3 linked regions of the Mus musculus genome follow. The protein of the gene in region 1 interacts with the protein of each later gene in a pairwise test. Links are inferred from orthologs where the notes say so. Each region holds a gene or a part of one and is shown on either strand. Other genes may lie near its edges. The genes, in order: Fosl1, Usf1 and Creb5.

Evidence for each region.
Region 2: the proteins of Fosl1 (region 1) and Usf1 interact in binary tests that used the Homo sapiens proteins (3 or more experiments, as listed by UniProt). The link is inferred for Mus musculus from reciprocal best matches to the Homo sapiens genes FOSL1 and USF1.
Region 3: the proteins of Fosl1 (region 1) and Creb5 interact in binary tests that used the Homo sapiens proteins (3 or more experiments, as listed by UniProt). The two-hybrid records come from large-scale screens. The link is inferred for Mus musculus from reciprocal best matches to the Homo sapiens genes FOSL1 and CREB5.

What each region holds. Positions count from the first base shown.
Region 1 is NC_000085.6:5,452,130-5,458,440, reverse strand, and holds the end of Fosl1 (fos-related antigen 1), read right to left. Parts: intron 5,279-6,311; exon of another isoform or gene 4,029-5,278; coding exon 3,921-4,028; exon of another isoform or gene 3,550-3,920; coding exon 3,133-3,549; 3' UTR 2,503-3,132; downstream 1-2,502. Other genes in the region: Ccdc85b (coiled-coil domain-containing protein 85B), read left to right, coding at 1,044-1,652.
Region 2 is NC_000067.6:171,409,049-171,416,027, forward strand, and holds the start of Usf1 (upstream stimulatory factor 1), read left to right. Parts: upstream 1-2,264; 5' UTR 2,265-2,392; intron 2,393-2,394; exon of another isoform or gene 2,395-2,814; intron 2,815-5,324; exon of another isoform or gene 5,325-5,388; 5' UTR 5,389-5,473; coding exon 5,474-5,481; intron 5,482-6,456; coding exon 6,457-6,506; intron 6,507-6,666; coding exon 6,667-6,782; intron 6,783-6,979. Other genes in the region: Arhgap30 (rho GTPase-activating protein 30), read left to right, coding at 1-293.
Region 3 is NC_000072.6:53,690,574-53,697,513, forward strand, and holds part of Creb5 (cyclic AMP-responsive element-binding protein 5), read left to right. Parts: intron 1-2,325; coding exon 2,326-2,434; intron 2,435-3,350; coding exon 3,351-3,514; 3' UTR 3,515-6,940. UniProt on the Homo sapiens protein: Binds to the cAMP response element and activates transcription.

The sequences.
Region 1 (6,311 bases):
TAGTCCTATCTGTCCTGGAACTCCCTGCTGGCATCTTATGCATCTTTAATGGCCCCTCAGGTATTTCCTCTTTGGGAAATATTTTGGGGATCTCAGAGACTACTTCTGTATCACATCCTTTTTTTATGGTCCAAGAATAAACCAGGGCCTTCCACATGCTAGGTAAGTGCGTTGTCATTGAGCCATATGCTCAACGTGAGCTTCTGTGCCTGCCCTCTCTCTCTTCCCCAAAAGATTCTCTCTCTCTCTCTCTCTCTCTCTCTCGCTCTCTCGCTCTCGCTCTCTCTCTCTGCAAGACAGGGTTTCTCTGTGTAGCCTTGGCTTCTTCTGTCAGATTTTGACCTTTTTGATCAAGTACAGGATTATTGTTAAGCGTATTTCTACACGGACCTTTCACACAACAAAGGTTTATTAAACAAACAAATCCTTTGGATGGCCCATCCTGCAGGCAGGAAACGGTCCCTGGGAGGAAGGGAGGGAGGGTTGGGAATGGGCCAGGACCTTTGACTCTAGATTCGGAGTAGCTGCGAGGGAGTGATGCTTCATAGTTCTCGGAAAGGAAGAAGAGCCTGGTAAGCCATCTGTTTAGCTTCTGTTGCGGAGTGGGAAGGAGTCAAAGGCAGACACCTGAATATCATTTCTCAAAAAGTGCTCGAGGGATTTTGGAACATGGAGTCCTGTAACGCCTTCAAGTCCCGCTGAGATGACCATAGAAGGAAAGGAGAGAGAAGGTCTCTACTGTTTGAGGGTCGTGACACCCAGGTCCGGAGTGGGCGAGAAAAGAGAGCTACAGGCTTAGGCTCCGCCCCTTCCTGGGAGACTTTCTGGATTGGCTGTTCTTGGGCAACATCACGAGGCCCCGCCCCGGCGCGCGCCCTGCCTCGTGCCCACCCCAGGGTAGCTGCTGCAGCCTACGCTGCCTCTTCCACTGCCTACGGTCCTCGGAGCCAGAGCCCGGGTCGGAGCCTGAGAGGCAACCGGCCCGAGGAGGGGCTCCAGAGCCTCGGCCGTGGGCGGGCGATGCTGCAGCTGCCTGATCAACTATGGAGGCCGAAGCAGGCGGCCTGGAGGAGCTGACGGACGAGGAGATGGCGGCGCTGGGTAAGGAGGAGCTGGTGCGGCGCCTGCGGCGGGAGGAGGCGGCGCGCCTGGCAGCGCTAGTGCAGCGCGGCCGCCTGATGCAGGAGGTGAATCGGCAGCTGCAGGGTCACCTGGGCGAGATCCGTGAGCTCAAACAGCTCAACCGGCGCCTGCAGGCGGAGAACCGGGAGCTGCGCGACCTCTGCTGCTTTCTGGACTCGGAGCGCCAACGAGGACGGCGTGCGGCGCGCCAGTGGCAGCTCTTTGGGACCCAAGCATCCCGGGCGGTGCGCGAGGACCTGGGTGGCTGTTGGCAGAAGCTAGCGGAGCTGGAAGGCCGCCAGGAGGAGCTGCTGCGGGAAAATCTGGCCCTTAAGGAGCTTTGCTTAGCACTGGGCGAAGAGTGGGGCCCCCGCGGTGGCCCCGGCGGCGCAGTGGGCTCAGGTGCTGGGCCCACACCCGAGCTCGCCCTGCCACCGTGCGGGCCCCGCGACCTAGGCGATGGAAGTTCCAGCACTGGCAGTGTGGGCAGCCCGGATCAGTTGCCCCTAGCCTGCTCCCCTGATGACTGAGGGCGCCGCATTTTCCACGCCAATGCCTGCCTGGATTGCTCCCTGAGCTCGGGGAATGCTGTGGACCTCCAGACCTGGTCGTAGCTTCGGCTGAGCACCAGGGCGCTGGAATGGACTGGAAAAGCCCTGGCACTGAGGAGGGCTCCTTGCTCTTGCTGGCAGAGCAGCAGGGGAAATGGAGGCTGAAGTGGAGGGACTTGCTGTGTGGTTGGGTGGGGACTAATAAACTGGGAAGGAAGCAGAGCCCGAAGCCTGGCCAGCTTGTGTCTAGAACTCGCCGGGGTTGGGAAGAGGGCGTAAACCCAGAGATGCAGTGCAGTTCTCATCCGGAGGAACTGCAGAGCTAGGGCTGACTCCCTATTACCTGGGATTGGGGTGGGATTTGAGACGGTGGTAGACCACTAACTCCCCCGATGGGCGCCAAGACAGGCTGAAATCCGGCCGCTGTAGTGGCTCCAGCTCCCTTCCAGGCTCCTTCCTGTCTAAAACAATGGGACAGGAAGCAGGTGTTGGGGGCCTAAAGCCCACTGAACCGCCTGCATGGATGGTGGAAGGATATACCACCGGCCTTCCCTGCCCCCCCCCCAGTCCTTAAGACAGGAGCAGTGTGGGTTCCCATGGGGAAAATAATTGATAATCTTCTTTGCTTGCACTCCAGAGCATTCTTAGTCTCTCAGTATAGGAGACAAGGAAGAGCAGAGGGTCGCCCCATTCTTCAGGTGAGAATATGGAAGTCCAAAAACATATGGTAGTTTCTTCAAGGTCAATGCTGAGACTGGAACCTGGAACTCCTGTTCCAAATGGTCTCCTTTAGCCTCTGGATCCAACATGACAACCCAGACTAGAGCTTCAAGCCTTTTATTCCATTTTGGAAGGTTTGTATAAAAATAGTCTCTTTAGGAAAATAAATAGCAGCTGCCCTTGCGGTGGAGGCTCGGATACCCTGAAGCTAAGCGCTTCTCAGAGCTAGGGAGTGCAGCTCCGCTCCTCACAGAAGCCCCTGGCGCCTCCTGCGTTGTGCCATTCAGGAGGAGCCTGCAGGATGTCCGGTGCTGCTGGCTGTTGATGCTGTGTGAGTTAGTGTTCTAGGCTAGTCAAAGGGCACCTTCTGTCTAGGTGTAGAGTAGGCTGGATAACATGAAGAAAGTGACGTGGTGTGGGAAAGTGGTCTGCAAGGGGTAAGGGTGTCAAAGGACCCCTGGGGATCTACAAAGTCTGGGCTGCCAGGCGTTCTCTGGCAGAGGGAACATATTTTCCTCTAATTTTGTGCAAATTATGATAGGCCAGCTCTAGAAAAACAGTGAGCAGCTTTGGGGATCCCCTCCAAGCTGGCTCTACATCAAAGCATAATGTGTTTGTTCTAGTCGGAAGAGATAAAAGATCTGCTGGTTTGGGGCAAGGGTATGGTCCAGGCCTGCTGGATCAATGGGAGAAAGGGGATGGCTTGGAGTAGCACCAGCAAGGGATGTGGCTGGGTGCCTCACAAAGCCAGGAGTGTAGGAGAGCCCAGGGGGTCGGAGGAGGGGTCGCCACTGCTGCTGCTACTCTTTCGGTGAGCGGAGGAGCAAGGTTCTGGTGTGCTAGGATAGGTGAAAACCAGACTCGGAGTAAAAGGAGTCAGAGAGGGTGTGGTCATGAGCGTGGGGGTATGCAGTGCTTCCGGTTCAAGTACGGGTCCTGGAGAAAGGGAGATGCAAGGCACTGGGCGGCCGGGGGCTGGTGGGCTGCTAGCACCGCTGGTGCTGCCAGAACCACCTGGGTCCTTCTTGTCTCCTTCTGGGATTTTGCAGATGGGGCGATGGGCTTCCAGCACCAGCTCAAGGCGTTCCTTCTGCTTCTGCAGCTCTTCAATCTCTCGCTGCAGCCCCGATTTCTCATCCTCCAATTTGTCGGTCTCCTTTACAGGATTAGCAGAAAGATAGGAAAATGAAGGCTAAAGATCCCCAAGCCTCAGGCTGGAGTAGGGACTGTGCCTGTCATCCCCAACAAGTCTGGACTGCAACTCCCTCCCGTGAGCCTCTGGGAGAAAATGGCCATGACTCCCATCAGACGGGGGCATCTTAGGAGAATTGCTGCCTACCATCTTCGACTCTGCCTCGAAGCCCGACAAACAATATTTAAGCCACTTTCCCTTATCCTTTTTCCAGGACTTCCCCACAGGCAGGGAGGATGACAGAGTCCTGAGGAGTAATTTTGGGTCTTTTGTGTTCTTGGGAGCCGAGACCCCTCTTGGGGCTCTGTGGGTCCGGGCCTGGGGATGATGCTCACCGCCTGCAGGAAGTCTGTCAGCTCCTTTCTTCGGTTTCTGCACTTAGCAGCTGCTAGCTTGTTCCGCTCGCGTCTCACCCTGCGGCGCTCTTCCTCCTCTGGGCTGATCTAGGTTGGGATAGAAGAAGGGAGACAATGAGGCTGACTCTGAGCCACCAGCTGCCCTGAGCTGGTCATCCAGCTTTCCTTCAGTCTGTAGTCTAGGTGCCACCACCCAACACTCCACAGTTGCTTCTCTGTACCGGACGCTTGTCATCTCATTGGTGACATTTCCAGCTCACACACACCTAGCTTTACTGCTGGTTTCTTTCCTGAAATGCTTTCCCTCTCTGTAAACTTTGATCTTCCTCCCTTCCGCATCTTAGGACTGGACTAAGATGTTGGGACCCCAGGAAGCCTTTTCATTTCTCAGGCAGAAGTAGCCTTCTCTCCTGAGTGTATGAGACATGATTATCTCTTTTCACAGGACTCTCAGCCTCCTCATCTGTGGAAGATGGGATTTCTTCCCCCAGGAGCTGTGAATTGTAGAAGGTGCTCTTGAGTGCCAAAAGCTACTGGGAATCAATCTACTATGCCAACAAAGCCCTTTGTAGGACTTTTCTTTTGCTTAGTGCTAGGGATCAAACCCATGGCTTGGTACATGCTAGCTCGGCAAATGCTCTACCACTGAGTTACACCCCTTCACCAGCCCTTTCGTAGATTCCTTTTTCTGCTTTTTGTAGTTTTGTTTCTTTGTATTTTAGACAGAATCTCTGAGTAGCCCTGCCTGGCCTTGAACTTGATTTATAGACCAGGCTGGCCTGGAACTCACAGACCTCATCTGGCTTGTTTTGTCTTTTTTTTTTTTTTTTAAGATTTATTTATTTTTATTATATGTAAGTACACTGTAGTTGTTTTCAGACACTCCAGAAGAGGGACTCAGATTTCGTTACAGATGGTTGTGAGCCACCATGTGGTTGCTGGGATTTGAACTTCGGACCTGCAGAAGAGCAGTTGGGTGCTCTTACCCACTGAGCCATCTAACCAACCCCCTTGTTTTGTCTTTTTAAAAGAGACAAAGTCTCATGTGTCCCAGGCTGGCCTTTAGCTCAGTGTATAGGCAAGACCGGCCTGAAACCCCTGATTCTTTGGCTTCCACCTCTAGAGTAATAGGATTGCAGACTGTATCAGCATCCCTTCCAGCTTCCCTACATAGATTCTTTATGTTGCTGTTGTTTTTAAAGACAGGGTTCATCTTCATAGTTCTAGCTGTCATGGAATTCACTCTGTAGGCTGGCCTCAAACTTCACCTGCCTCTGCCTCCCAAGTACTGTGATTAAAGGCATGTGCCACACTATGCCTGGCTAGAGTCATATATTCATATATATAGTCGTGTGTGTGTGTGTGTGTGTGTGTGTGTGTGTGTGTGTGTGTGTGTGTGTGTCATAGCACCCTTGGAGGTTGGTTCTCTCCTTCTACTGTGTGGATTTCAAGGATTGAACTCAGGTCATTAATTTCGCAGCAAGTACCTTTACCCACGGAGCCATTTCACCAGCACCCCCTACATAGATTGGTTTTTTAGAGGGTTTCTCTGTGTAGCCCTGGCTGTCCTGGAACTTGGTTTGTAGATCAGACCAGGCTGGCCTTAAACAGAGATCTGCTGTCTGAACCAACACCACCTGGCTTTTAAATTTTTATTTATTTATTTAACATATGTGAGTAGACCCTTGCTGTCTTCAGATACACCAGAAGAGGGCATTGGATCCCATTACAGATGGTTGTGAGCTACCATGTGGTTGTTGGGAATTGAACTCAGGACCTCTGGAAAAGCATTCAGTGCTCTTAACGGCTGAGCCATCTCTCCAGGCCCCCCCCCTTTTTTTTTTAAAGATTAAAAAAGGGGCTGGTGAGATGGCTCAGCGGGTAAGAGCATTGACTACTCTTCCAAAGGTCCTGAGTTCAAATCCCAGCAACCACATGGTGGCTCACAATCATCCATAACAAGATCTGACGCCCTCTTCTGGAGTGTCTGAAGACAGCTACAATGTACTTATGTATAATAAATAAATCAATCTTAAAAAAAGATTTAAAATATGTAGACTGGGGCTAGAGAGATGTTTTAGCAGTTAAGAGCTCCTCTTTCAGAGGTCCTGAGTTCAAATCCCAGCCACACACGGTGGCTCACAACCACCTATAATAGGATCTGATGCCCTCTCCTGGCATGAAGGTATACATGGAAGCACTCATTCATAAATAAAATTTACAAAAAAAAAAAAGGCTTATAGTGATGGCATACATCTTTGGTCCCAACACTTGGGAGGCAGGCAGATGCCTCTGTGAGTTTGAGGCCAGCCTGGTCTGTAGAGTGAGTTCTAGGACAGCCAGGGCTATACAGAGAAACCCTGTCTCAAA
Region 2 (6,979 bases), on another chromosome or scaffold:
GGGAACGCCAGAGGACCGAGTCTCAGGGAGTTCTGCGGACCCAGACCTGTACTGGAGGTGGGGATTATAGTCTCAGCTCCAGAACCCCTCCTTGTAGCATGATCCTTGCCCATTCTTCCCGGCCCCTTAGCTGTTTGGAACGCCCACCTGAAGGCACAGAGGGGTCTGAGCCCAGGAGTCGGCTTAGTCTGCCCCCTAGAGAGCTTCACCCTGTTGTCCCTCTTGTGGCCCCTCAGCGCCAGACATATGCTTTTGAAACACAGACTAATCATGGGAAAGATGAAGGGGTATGATTAGGACAGGACAAGAGGAACCAAGAAATCATCACCAATCTCTGGAGCACTTGCCTAGCTGTCTTTGCTGCCTCGGCAGCTGAGATGTCTAATTCCATAGGCTTGGGTCCTCCAGCTTCTTGTTTTGACCATGAGAGGTACAGACTTGGTGGATTTACTTATGTTTGTGTTAGACACAAAGCCACTTATGTCTTAGCAGAGTCTTAAGAAACATAGAACAATCTTGTTTCCAGGGAGTTAACAAAAACATAGGGTAGGTAAAAGCTTTTTTTTTTCTTAAATTTAAATACAGTGGGGGAATTTCAGCCAAACTTTTGCCCTATTCTGAGCTGTGAATATCTCTTCACAGAAGCCTACTGTAGATGTGGGAGATATAGGACCAGATATAGAATAGCTCACCCCTGATTTGTTCCTAGATTTTTGGCTGTCTTCTGACCCTCTTTAGTTTCAGAGTAGGAGAAACATCCAAGAAGCTCTTTAAAGTCCTCAGTGTTTGCTGAAGGAAATGGGTGGCATCCTCTACCTTCAATTATTTTGCAGAAGAGGTCCTCCCATTTTAGGAAAAGGGAATGTTGGGCTGAAGAGATAGCTCAGAGGTTAAGAGCACCTACTGTTCTTCCAGAGGTCCTGAGTTCAATTCCTAGCAATCACATGATGGCTCACAACCATCTGTAACGGAATTTGATGCCTTCTACGGGTGAGTCTGAAGAGAGCAATGGTGTACTCATTCATATACATAAAATAAATAAAGAAAGAAAAGAAAAAGGAAAAGAAAAGTAGAGGGAATGTCACTCAATTTGGCTCTAGCACTGTCTCTGCACAGGCTGGGGCTACAGGCCACCATTTAGCAATGGTGGGTATTTGATAATAAAAGCTGAATTTTTTTTTTAACATTTAAACAGTGTATGTACTTTGTCTTATTAAAGTTTTGGGTGAATGGTATCACATTCCAAAGTTGCCAAAATGTATATATCTTGTTTTTTCTTATTTAGATATTCTTCCTCAGTTGTCATGGGAAACTGTAGCTAGAAAGTAGAACTGGGTTCATGGTGGTCAAGAAATGAGGAAGAGAAACCTGTATTTACATAATGTTCATCTAATGCCAGGAATTGGGCCAGATTTGTGTGCATAAAAACTTTGCTCTTGAATTTATTTAATCCACTTGATGTGAAGTTGGTATTGGTATTTCCGTTTTACAAAGAAATTGAGCTGTAGTTAAGTAAAAATGCCCATCAAAAACCTCAGAGTTAAGAAGTGTTAGTTTCTAGGTGTGGTGGCTGTCTTTAATCCTAGCACTTGGGAGTGGAGAGATCTATGTGTATTCGAGTCCAGCATAGTTTATGTAGGACTACATAGAAATACCCTATCGCAAAAAAAAAAAAAAAAAAAAAAAAGTGTCAGTTCAGAGTCTGAATGGCTTCAGAATCTGAATTCTAGCTATTGCTATTATACTTCACTATTCCAAAATCACTCTGGGTACACCCAGAATGAAGAAAATGGTAATCAAACTCGTCCCCACACGTATTTAAGAGCCTGAGGAAAAGCTATGAGGTCTTTGGAGTATTGCTGACGTTAATACAAAGGTATATACCCAGATCCACGTACACTCAGAAATGTCCCAAAGTCCACTTGGAACCCCCTCAAAGTGATGCCCTGATCCAAGATGGCGTCCCACATTGCCCTTATGAAAGATGGCGCCTAAGATTGCCGTTCCACCCTCTACTTCCTTTTACTGGAAGTAAAAGGGCTCCGCCTACCACAAGGATGGAAGTACAATTTAGTCGGGTTTTTTTTTTCCTGGTTCTTACTGAAAACAAAGGCCTCTAGCGAGGTCCCCAAGGATACCGTCTGTTTCCCTTCAGAGCCTGCGACCACTCACGTACCCACATCCGCTCTAGCGGGCATCAGATTTGAAGCGAGCGGAAGTGTGGCAGCTCGGGGGGCCGTCCGTCGGCTGGGCGGGTCGAGGGCACACTTCCGCCCCTCACCAACATGGCCGCAGGCTGGGACTGCGCATGAGCAGCTGTCTATGGAGAGACCTAGATCCAAAGACGGAGAAGGCTGCCGGGGGAAATCGGCGACTGAAGCGGCCTGGCCCGGTGAGTGCGTCGGAGCCGGCCGGAGTCCGGACGCCGGTGGATCGGCATGGCGGGGCACCTTTGCTTTGGCTGGCGTTTCCCAGGCCAGGCCACGCCTGGGCACGGAGCCTTTGTTTTGGGGGAGGGGGCCGTGCCCGGCTCTTTCTCTCCTGCTTTGTGGGCCGAGCTCGCTCCCCGCCCCGGTGTGCACACGTCCCAGCCGCCTGCGGTGGGTATCCAGCTTCGAGCCGCAGGCCCGGGAAGGTCCCCGGCGTCCTTTCCCCGTCTCTCCTCCGCGGAGCAGCTGGGGCGCAGGCGAGCTGGGCTGGGACCGGCGGGGTCACCGCGCGGGCTGCGGGGCTCGCGCCTGCCGGGTACTCAGGTCCCCAAGCGCCTACTACTAGTCGGTGGGCCTGCAGGGAGACGCGTCGTTCTCGGGCAAGGTCCGGGCGCTTGAAGTCTTTGGGAACTTGATCTGGTTTTTGTGTGTGGGTGGTGGTGGGGGGTGTTTTGTTTTTTAAATTTCTGCCTTTGCGTCTGTGCTTGGTGAGGACGTTTGCTGGGCTCTCCTTTTGAGCATGCAAAACCACAAAATCCTAGGCTGATTTCCGTATCACGTATTATTAATGCTCAGGATGCTTCCGGATATACAACCAAGGTTTGAGTAAGGAGCCTACCGCCGTTTCTGGGTAGCCTCAGAAGTTGCGCTGACAGCTGTTGGCTATACGGTTGTCTCGTGCGCCTTGCAGTCTCTTTCATAGCCTCCTCCTGCAGGCCGTGCCAGGAGCTTCAGGAGGAGCTCTTCCTCCTGTTTGAGGATGGAGACCCCCTAGGTGGTCCGTACATCCGGACGCTGCCTCCCTTTGCAGCCTTACTTTCTACGGACAGTTTCACTTTCAGTTCCCTTTTGTTATTGTTGTTAACGTTCTTCTTTGCACACGGTCTTTCCGAGGCGCATTATCCGCTAAACTAAGGTTTTTCTTTGATTAGAAAGGTTTGGAAGATCTTGCGGGTAGAGTGTTTAAAAAAAATCTTGTCCTTTCTTGTTGAGATTATTTTATTGCTTTGTCCTATGCAGCTGTTTCTTTCTGGTGGCATCTGTCTGTACAGTTCTTTGTTTTTTCCCGTTCTCTGGCTGGTTGTCAAAAGTCCTAAGGCAGGAACATTGTAGATGGATTCCTCCCCCTTTGTCTTTTCTCCTGCAGAACCCTGAGCCTGGAGGTTTTCTTTCCCCCCCTCCTCCTGAGGCTTAGTTGATTTGGAGTTGTCATGGCAACATTTTAGCAACTATGTTGCTCTACAGGAAGCCTTGCTGGATAAAATAAAGAAGCCTTGAACATGATGCACTTGGGCACTGGTGTTTGTAACAGATGCTGTAAATCTGGACTCTCTCAAAACAAGAGCCCCGACAGCGGAGTAGTATCCAAGAGCCAAACCTGGGTTTTATGCTTAGTGATGGTTTCCCAATAGCAAAAAAGGTTTCAGTTTTCCTCTTCTTAGATTTGAGGACTGGAATTTGTTTTTTGTTATTCTTATTTGATTTTGAAACAGGACCTCTCTATACATAACCTTGGCTGTCCTGGAACTCACTCTGTAGACCAAGCTGGCATTGAACTCAGAGATCTGCCTGCCTCTGCCTTCTTAGTGCTGGGATCAAAGGCTGGCATCACCACCTCCCAGCTTCAGATTTCTTTTCGTACAGTTTGTGTTGGAGAAGCTGGAAGAAGAATCAGGGAGTGTGTGAGGGAGTGTGTGGGTGGGGGGGTTATTAGTTACTGGTTTTGATAGTGGTGGTCTAAACTTTGCTCTAGCTTTTCCTGTGAAGCTGCTGACATAGAGTATAATAGCTTTAGTAACAATCCACAATAGCCTCAGCCATGCACCCCAGACATTGTTTCACAGTCTACTCCTCCCCCCAGGAGTTGGAATGAAAATGGAGGAGCAGCTGGGTGGTGGCGACCCATGCCTTTAATCCTAGCACTAGATAGGCAGAAGCAGGCAGGATCTCTGAGAGTTCAGAGGCCAGCCTGGCCTACAGAGTGAGTTCCAGGACGGCCAGGGCTACAAGAGAAACCCTGTCTCAGAAAGAGAGAAGCGGGGTTGGGGGGGAAGGAAGGAAGAGAGAAAAGTTTTGGTGTGTGTGTGTGCACATGCATGTGTGTGGTGGGCTGGACGCTGTGATAAACAGCTTTCACAAGTTAGTTTTTGCCTCTTTGAGGGGAGGAGGTTGTTTTTTTTGTTTTGTTTTTTGAGATATGGATTCTCTAGGTTGCCCTGGTCATCCTGGAACTCTGTAGCCATGGCTGGCCTTGAACTCAGAGATCCACGTGCCTGGCTCCCAAGTGCTTGAATCAGGCATTGCCACCACGCCCTGCCTGCTGAGCCCTCCTAGCTTTTCTTTTGGTCAGAGGAGAGCCGTAGGGGGTCAGTTGTTGTCTTTCCACGTTGCTGGAGACAGTGGCTGGCGCCCCGCTTGTAGAGATTCTCTCATCTCCAGCTCTCCATCAGGCGCCCTGTGATTACACATGCTCTCAATGCTGCATTCCTCTCTTCTATAGGTTTTAGGACTCGGGTGTTACCTTCATTCCGAGTGAGACTTCCATTGCGAGTGCTGTTTGAGCCAATCTCCCAGTTTTGTTTTATTTTATTTTGAGACAAGTTCTTGTAGCCCAGCCTAGCGTGACACTAGCTTTGCACCCCAGGATGGCCTTGAACTCCTAAGTATTGGTATTACGGGCATGAGCAAGCACACTTGGTCCTTTTTCTCCTCAAACTCGCACCGTTCCTGTCTCCTTCCCCTGAGTGTTAGGCTCCCAGGAGTGAGCCTCCATGTCCCGTGAAGAGTTGCTTCTTCAGTCACTGCAGACTAGCCCTTGCCATCAGAATTGGGGGAGTTGACTGTCCTTTGCGGATGCTTGGTTTATCTTCCTGGCTGTGTCTTCTTGGAACCTAGGTTCTAGAACCTGGAAAGCTGTTCAGTTGCCTGGCCTCACTGCAAACTCTGTGGTTTCCACCAGGACTTAGCATTCAGGCCTTTGAGTTGGGAGATACAAAGTCCTCCGAAAAAAGACCGGCGCCTCGGATGAGCCCCCTCACAGAGAGATGAAGGGGTAAGTGAAGAGGGATGTCTGGGCAGAGGAGGGATGGCCTGGAGAATGCAGAATTAATGCAGAATGACTAAGAACATTGGATTCGGGAGATCTGGGTTCAGGTACCCAGCTCCAACACTTACCAGCTCTGTGATTTAGTTTCTCTATCTATAAAACTGTGGTGCTAGTCACTGTTATTAGCATCAAGATGGTGTGCTGGGGTGGGGGGTGGGGTGGATGCCTTTAATCTCAGCACTCAGGAGGCAGAGGCAGTCTTATCTCTGAATCCAAGGTTAGCCTGCTCCACACAACAAGTTCCAGGACTGCCAGAGCTACCCAGAAAAAAACTCTTTCTTTCTTCTTCTTTTTTTTTTAAGATGTAGAAATGGTCCTTTTTTTGTTTTGTTTGTTTGCTTGTTTATTATATGTAAGTACACTGTAGCTGTCTTCAGACACTTCAGAAGAGGGCATCAGATTTCGTTACAGATAGTTGTGAGCCACCATATGTTTGATGGCATTTGAACTCGGGACCTTTGGAAGAGCAGTCAGCGCTCTTAACCACTGAGCCATCTCGCCAGCCCTAACACTTTCTTGAAAAACAAAATAAAACCAACCAACCAACAAACAAAAAAAGTGCTTATAGCTTGGTGTCTATGTACATGGTAGATACTTAGTTATTACTTTTTAAATTTATTTTGTTTTATTTTTTTGAGACAAAATAATATTTACATAGTCCTGGGTATATCGTAGTCCTGGCTGCCCTGGAGCTCACTCTGTAGACCAGGCTGGCTTCAAACTCACAGAGATCCACCTGCCTGTCTCCTGAGTGCCAGGTTTAAAGGAATGTGCCACCATGAGCCAGCAGTAATACTGTCATGGTCTAACCTAGCCTAACATCTGTTGTGGATGCCAGTGAGTTTGGGAACCATGTTACGAGGTCAGTGAATGTCTCACATCTTCCATTTGTTTCTTGTTTTTTTGTTTCACCACCAATAGGCAGCAGAAAACAGCTGAAACCGAAGAGGGAACAGTGCAGATTCAGGAAGGTGAATGTTGACAGTCAAGACTTATGGCTCATCCTCCCCTCCCTCTCTTCAGATGATGGTCCATCTCCTTCCTACATACCGTGTGTCTTTTAAGTGCCATGCAAGTAGAACAGGGAGGAAGGCAGTTAACTTCTAGATCTTTCTTTGCCTCTTAATCTAGGCGCAGTGGCTACTGGAGAGGACCCAACTAGTGTAGCTATCGCCAGCATCCAGTCAGCTGCCACTTTTCCTGACCCCAACGTCAAGTACGTCTTCCGAACTGAGAATGGGGGCCAGGTAAGGGAGGGGGCCAGGTGGCTGCAGATGCCGCCTGGGGTTTGGGGTTAAGGGAGGGGCATGAGCATGTTTTGGGGAGCTGTGGCTTGGAGGAGTAGCTGTGTACTATTGGGGTGATAATTGGACGCTTTGAGATTGATGTGGGGCTGGATATGCTAAAGCCTGGGGGTCGGGGCGGAGGGGACAAGGGACAGTTG
Region 3 (6,940 bases), on another chromosome or scaffold:
TTTATTACTAATGTCAGAAGTATGTGCAGATGGTCTGTTTTCAAAGCACTGCATATTTTTAGATCGTGTGTGTGTGTGTGTGTATATATATATATATATATATATATATATATATATATATATTTCATATATATTTCATATATATGTATATATATGTATATTTCATATATATTTCATATATATGAATGTTTTCCCTACAGGCATGTATATGCACTATGTACATACCTAGTTCCCACGAAGACTAGCAGAGGACATTGTTACAGAACTAAAGTTATAGATGGTTGTGAGCTATGTGGGTGTTGGGAGCCCAAATCAGGTCCTCTGCAAGAACAGAAAGTGCTGTTAACTCCCAAGCCATCTCTCCAGTCCTGATTCTTACATCCTTAACAAAACTTTACACCACTCAAGACCTTACTTCGTTTCTCTACTTGCAGCTTATTGGTTTATCAGCAAAGTATTTTGCTATTTGTGGACAAAATAATGTTCTCATATACTTTGATAGTGCTTTATTGATAGGCATGAAAGTTTATGCTGTTTTATAGTAAAATTCCTTTTGGAAGCGAAAAGTGTATTGTGAAAGAGTTTGGATGTGCTCCCACTAATGTTGGACAGCTAATGAGTAGCATTACCAGTGTTTCAAAGGATAGCCCATCAACACACCCTGGCAGGAGTGCAAGTGCTACCAAGACACCACCTCTGCCCAGGACACAGTAGGGGAGAAATCAAACCCATCTCCAAACAACCACTAGATCTCAAAAAAGATTGGTTTTCAATTCAAAATGTGTTAAAAGAAAGCAAAATAATCCAGTTTGGTTTTGTTTGTTAATTTTAAAACTACAATACTTTGCTTGTTTGTTTGTTGATTGGTTGGTTGGTTGGTTGGTTGGTTGGTTTGTTATGGGGGGATTTACATGTGCTATGTCACACACGTCGAAATCCAAGGATAACATGTATAAGTTGATCTCTCCTTCCACCATGTGGACTCTAGGGATTGAGCTCTAGGCTTCAGCCTCGGGAGCAAGCACTTTTACCCACTGAGCCATCTCACCAACCCCCAAGTTTGGCTTTTATACTTTGCTGATTGTTTTCTGGGCCACACTAGAGAAAGTGTAGGTTCTCCGTAATGGTTTCTAAGTTGCATTGTCTACATCATCTGTAACTGCCAGTTTTGTTAGGGTATCCGGAATGGTGTGTTCAGAAAGGTGTCAGTGCTAACGTATGCAAGTCCAGACATTTCACCTTGCTGTGTGCATGCACAAACATACACACACACAACAATTCTCTGTTTCAGCTTGAGCAGTTTTATTTTATTTTTAAACATATACATAAAGATATATAATGTTCTAAAGGTGAATTTCTCTTATACATACTATTTTAAAAATAGGAGAACTTGGTGTGGGGAAACAAAGAATGTTATTTAAACAACATAATTCAGTTAAAGTTCAAAGAGGAGTTGGTTGGAGGCGGATGTGAATTTCCCTGTAAAATAAAGTTGTCCTTACTTGCCAAAAGTCACTTCGAACCATGGCTGGCTACCTATCAATCATCCTAGCTGGGAAGTGGGAGGTACTGTTTGCCTTCATGAATGCTCGCAGATTTAAGAGCAATTTTCCTGTACCATTAAGTGATTTATTCATCTTTAAGAGAATTTCTCACTATTATCATTATTTTGTGGTTTGAAGGATAATGGGGAAAGCTTTTGCAGATGAGACATTTGTTACTTTATTAGCAATGCTATTCGGGGTACAGTTTATCCAGTGTTTCAAATGCATTTGCAAGTGGGAGATATTCATTAAAGAAACAGCTTCATTTTTTAAAGTTAACTTCTAGACTTCTAGGAGTTTTCTTCTCTAGACGATGTCTACTTATGTACGTTTGTACCATGGGTGTCACCAAGTTCATTGTACATTGTACCATTTCTAACTCCATCTTCTAAATGCTATAAATGAGGTTGGTGGAGGTTAACCAAATCATGTTAGATAATACATGGTCACAGCTATCTCAGGTCACATGGTCAGAGAAGCATGGGCATCTCGGCTATATTATCTGGTTCCAGAGCCCGTCACTTAAAGGCTATGGTCTGCTTTTTATGTAGGGGTTCAGTTCTTGAGTTAAACTTTGGTCTCTTCAAAAGACCCATACAATAAGAGGGCCAAATGGAAGGGAAACTACAGAATTCGGATCAGTCCCTCAAAGTAACTTTCTGAATGTCATTTGAACACAGTCAGTAAAGCTTGATAACTCTGTTGTTGAAAGCAGATGGTGGGACTTTTGTGTTTGCTAATTCTTTGGTCTTCTCAACACAATGTTACTATGTCTTCCCAGAATGAAGTGTCCATGTTGAAAAACGAGGTGGCCCAGCTGAAGCAGTTGTTGTTAACACATAAAGACTGTCCGATAACAGCCATGCAGAAAGAATCCCAAGGGTATTTAAGTAAGTCACGTTTTTATTCCTTAGAAGAAAACTTGTCTCTCATTTTGCCCTGAATTTTTATTATAAGGGAAAAATACAGCACAGGCTGCACACCCAGACAGATACTTGGGAATGACTAAGAGGTTATAGATGCTTCTGCCAGGGGAAGCCATCTTTCCTGACCTCTTCCCAAAACCATGCCCAGGACCCCTCCCCCATCCCCACCCCCAATAAGGTCTGGCCTTACTCTCCCTGGCAGCACATTACCAAATTCCTGCTTTGTAGCCAGAAATGAGTCTGTGGGGGTCCAGTTACTAGAGGCCTGTTCATCCTCCTGAGAGAATCCTCCTGGGAGCTGAGAGACATCTCTGGGTGTATCACTTGCCTCTAGTTTCTCAGGAGATGCTGCATGTTGCCCACCAGGCTGCAAAGTTCCTGGGCTCCCCCTGTTTTTCAGCAAACAGTGTGGGGGTCTCTTCCTCCCTGGCTCCACTTTCTGTACTTACAATGGCAGTAGACTAAATGCTAGGTGAATCAGGGAAGGCAGGAGGAACAATGAATCGTGGCTGAAGGTCAATTTGTTTTCAAATAATTTTTTAGATTGAGCAACACAGATTCTCCCACCACATGTGAGTATTTTTCCACATTTAATAATACGAACGGCTACCTGAAAATATAAGACGGGGGAATTCATACCCCCAAGGCTTGATCAAACACATTTTACGGGGGTCATCTTACTGATGGGGAAAGTGGCTTTTCCCATAGCTATGAGCCTGGGAGGCTTAGCTTGGCAACCTCAGTTTAAAATGAAGCTTTGGCCTTCTCTTCCAGAAGGAAATGTATGAAGCTCCTCCACACGCAGTTTAATGTCTAATAGCATTTCTACTCCCCCAAGAAAGAGCTATATTTGTGTGTGTGTGTCTGTTTTTCCTCCTAGGTCCAGAGAGCAGCCCTCCTGCGAGCCCTGTGCCAGCATGCTCTCAGCAGCAAGTTATCCAACACAACACCATCACTACATCCTCATCGGTCAGCGAGGTCGTGGGGAGCTCCACCCTCAGTCAGCTTACAACTCACAGAACAGACCTGAATCCTATTCTTTAAAAGGCATCGGTCAAACCTGGCCTTTGAGAAGAGCTGTAGCATGCCGTACATCCTTTCTCAAAGGGGCATTTTTTTTAGAATTATCTCAGACCTGGAAGACGCCTCAGCCCTTCAAAGACTGGCTTTCATTTTTATAGTTATTATGGAAATGTTGTCTTTTATACTTAGTTATATAAGAAAAAAGGGAGATATGCAATGAATATCTATCAGCTTGGGGAGCACGTTGGTGCTTCTCTGCAATTTTCTGGTACCAGTTTCTTGTTTATAAACGGAACCTTTCCTGTATATAGCCATGGTTTCATTCTTACCAGCCCAACCCTTTGCCTGGAACAATGAATCTTGTTCAACTACAGCTTTTAGCCAAAATGAGGTATGCTTAGATGTCAAGCGAGATGGATCCACACAGTAACTGGGTGGGAAAGCTCATGATGTCATAACTCATGTTGAGTTTGTGCTGTGATGTCACCAGAATCTCAGATAAACACATGGGCCTTCCTGAATATTTTTTTCTCTTGCTAGAAAAAAATAAATTATGGTCCATCCATATCCCATGAAAGCCACCAAGCATCTCAGGCCCCCTCCTTCCTCTCTTTTCTACTTGCGCAGATGTCCAATATCCATCTCATTTTCCTTTCCCCGGATCCCTTGTTTACTCTTTGTTTTGACTTTTTTTCTGTTTCCTTTTCTCCCCTTTAGCTTTGCATGTAAAAAAGAAAATAATGTTTAAAGAAGAGAAAAAGCAAATCTGGAAACTGTGGACCTAGCCACAGTTTAACCCACAGCTGGAGTTCATTCAATTTTTGCCTTTCACAAAATAGCAACCAGGAGATGTTTAATGTGCCTGATTTAATGTTTTTAATAACCAGAGCAAATAAAAGGTGGTTTGGTTATAGGTGAAGCACTGTTGAATGCCAGCTGTGGGGACACTAGGGAAAGGGACTTCGTAAGCTCCAACTGTGAAAATTCAAATAAGGATGTGGGCTCTAACATCACACCCTCGAATTACAGCTCGCTTCTATGGCCTGTCTATAATGTAAAAAATCCATGCACTATATAATAGTTCAGAAGGGCTCTGTTCACTACACAGATTACATTGTTCAATCATCAGCTGCTAATAACCTAAGATTTATTATTATTATTTTTCTTAAGCCTATGGAACCAGCTCTGCTGTTCTGGTGGGCAAAAGCAAACTCACTCTTGGAGCAACAGAGAGAAAGCGAGGCCAGCGTTTCTCGGGGACTCGCAGTCTGCCAGAACAGTCAGACTCCTTGGCTGCTGACCGAGTCCCATGGAGGTGGCCAGGCTGGTGCGCTCATCTGAGTAGTTCTGATTTATATTTTCAGCAATGTCCACGGACTTGCCCATTACGGAAAGCAGATCAAACCCAAACCACAGTTGTGCCTCCTTGAAACAAGCCATTCTACTCTGCTGGTGTTTTACTATCGTGTTTCACAAATAATAGGGGCTAATGTTTCTCACTAGCAGTCTGGGCATATGCTGGTGTTTCATCTCTGCCCAAATAATTCACCTCCTAACCTATGTGTGTGTGTGTGCACATGGATGTGTGTGCCTGAGTGTGTGAGTGTGTGTGTGTGTGTGTGTGTGTGTGTGTGTGTGTGTGTTTATGAACAGTATAGGTTTTAAAAGAACAGTATTTTACAAAAGCCATCACTTTTATAAGAGTTCTGTAAAGGAAGGATGTACTTCTTCGCTCACTATAGTTTAAAAAAAATTCTATTTTAGAGGAAAAAAAAAGAAAATATGAGGGCTCTGAGCATGACTTTTATAACTAGTTTCAGTTTTATCTAATAACTTACTTTTAAAAAATCAATATTTATCAATAATTTTCATGTATGCTGTGCTTTTTGAGAGACATGTTTGGCTGTTCAGTAAAGCATAAGAGTATATGGCCTAAGAATCAAAAAGAAATGAAAAAATAAAATAAAAAGAGGGAAAAGAAAAATGAAAAGGGAAGAAAGAAGATGGAGCAAACAGAAATTTCTATTGTATTTTAGGAAAATGCATCATTTTCAAGTATTTTAAATACTGAGTTAATATTGTTATTTTTTTTTTAATTCCAGCAGTAACAAAATGGTTTAACCTAACTGGCTTGCTAAGAAACGTGTAAGTCTTAGATTTGAAAGAATTTAACATTCATAGCTCTGGATTGAAATCAAAGGTCATTTTCTGCAAAATTCCTTCCTTAGATCAGGTCAGTGCTCTGCTCCCTTCAAAATAGAAGGGGCAAGCTAGAGTGGCAGAGCTTGTGGCTTCTATCTGACACTTGCTTTGGGTAAACAGGACCTTTCCCTCCTGCCTGCATGTATAGCACTTGAAGAAATGAATTTTTTAATCCACTAGTAATATAACATCCAGGGAGTGACCCGCCACTAAAATGATGATTTTCAGTTTATGTCTCTCCCACCACTCAACTGAAGTGCTTAGCCGTTCCAGGGACAGCCTTTGCAGTTAAGAACTTGCCTGGGTTTTCTTAATTCAGAGACTCGACAGCTTGACTGATGTGCATTATTTATAGCTCAATTATGTCTGTTTTTTATGCTAAGTAGGCAAGCCACCACACACAGCAAACCTTTCTCAACATATAATTAGGATAAACTGCCTTCTTGTTATGGGCAGGCCCTTTAGGTGTGTTTGTTTGCAGTATGGATAGAGTCGGTGAGGGTGCCAGCTCGCTGTCAGTCGAGAAAAACTTCTGGGGAAATCTAATTTCTGGTTTATCCCTAGTCAAGATTCCACAGAAAGGTCCATCCTTTACCAGATCTCAGAGCCTGCCTGAAACAACCCTTGCACTGACTGCCATACACCAGCGATTCGAGGAGAGCATCTCTCTAATTCCTTTTCATCGTCTTCTCCCATCCAGTTACCAGTGTCAGCCATACAGACTTTCAGGAGTCAGTGGTAACAGCCTTCAGAGTTCCCCCGTCCAAGGAGGGAAAGAAAGTTCAAGAAACACTGCCTCTCTTACTCCTGTGTGGCTCCATTATCACAGGATCTGCTTCTGAAGTCCCTGCCAGCCTCCTGGGCACTTCTCCAGTACCTCCCTGCCTAACATGCTGAGGGCTGGAAACTTAGTGCACATCCCCACTCACTGAGAGAAAGACATGGCACATGAATGCTTCTTAGAAACACCTTTCTCAATCTACGATGCTGGGATAGGCAGACTCAAAGTCCCAGCCCCGGATGAGTGTTCGAATCTCAAAGCTAGATATGGAGTTAGCTATGATCTACTGGGTGCTGGTGACCCTCGTCATCTCTTTACCCACATGTCAATGTGTGCGAGTTGCCATATTAAAACAGCCTGTGGGTGACCGATAGTGTGTGTGCTGTTGAGGTGTGTATCATAAAGACTGGGGTGACTTGCTCAGCCAGTGCTCCGTGGAACTAATCTAATCAATAAAATGCAGT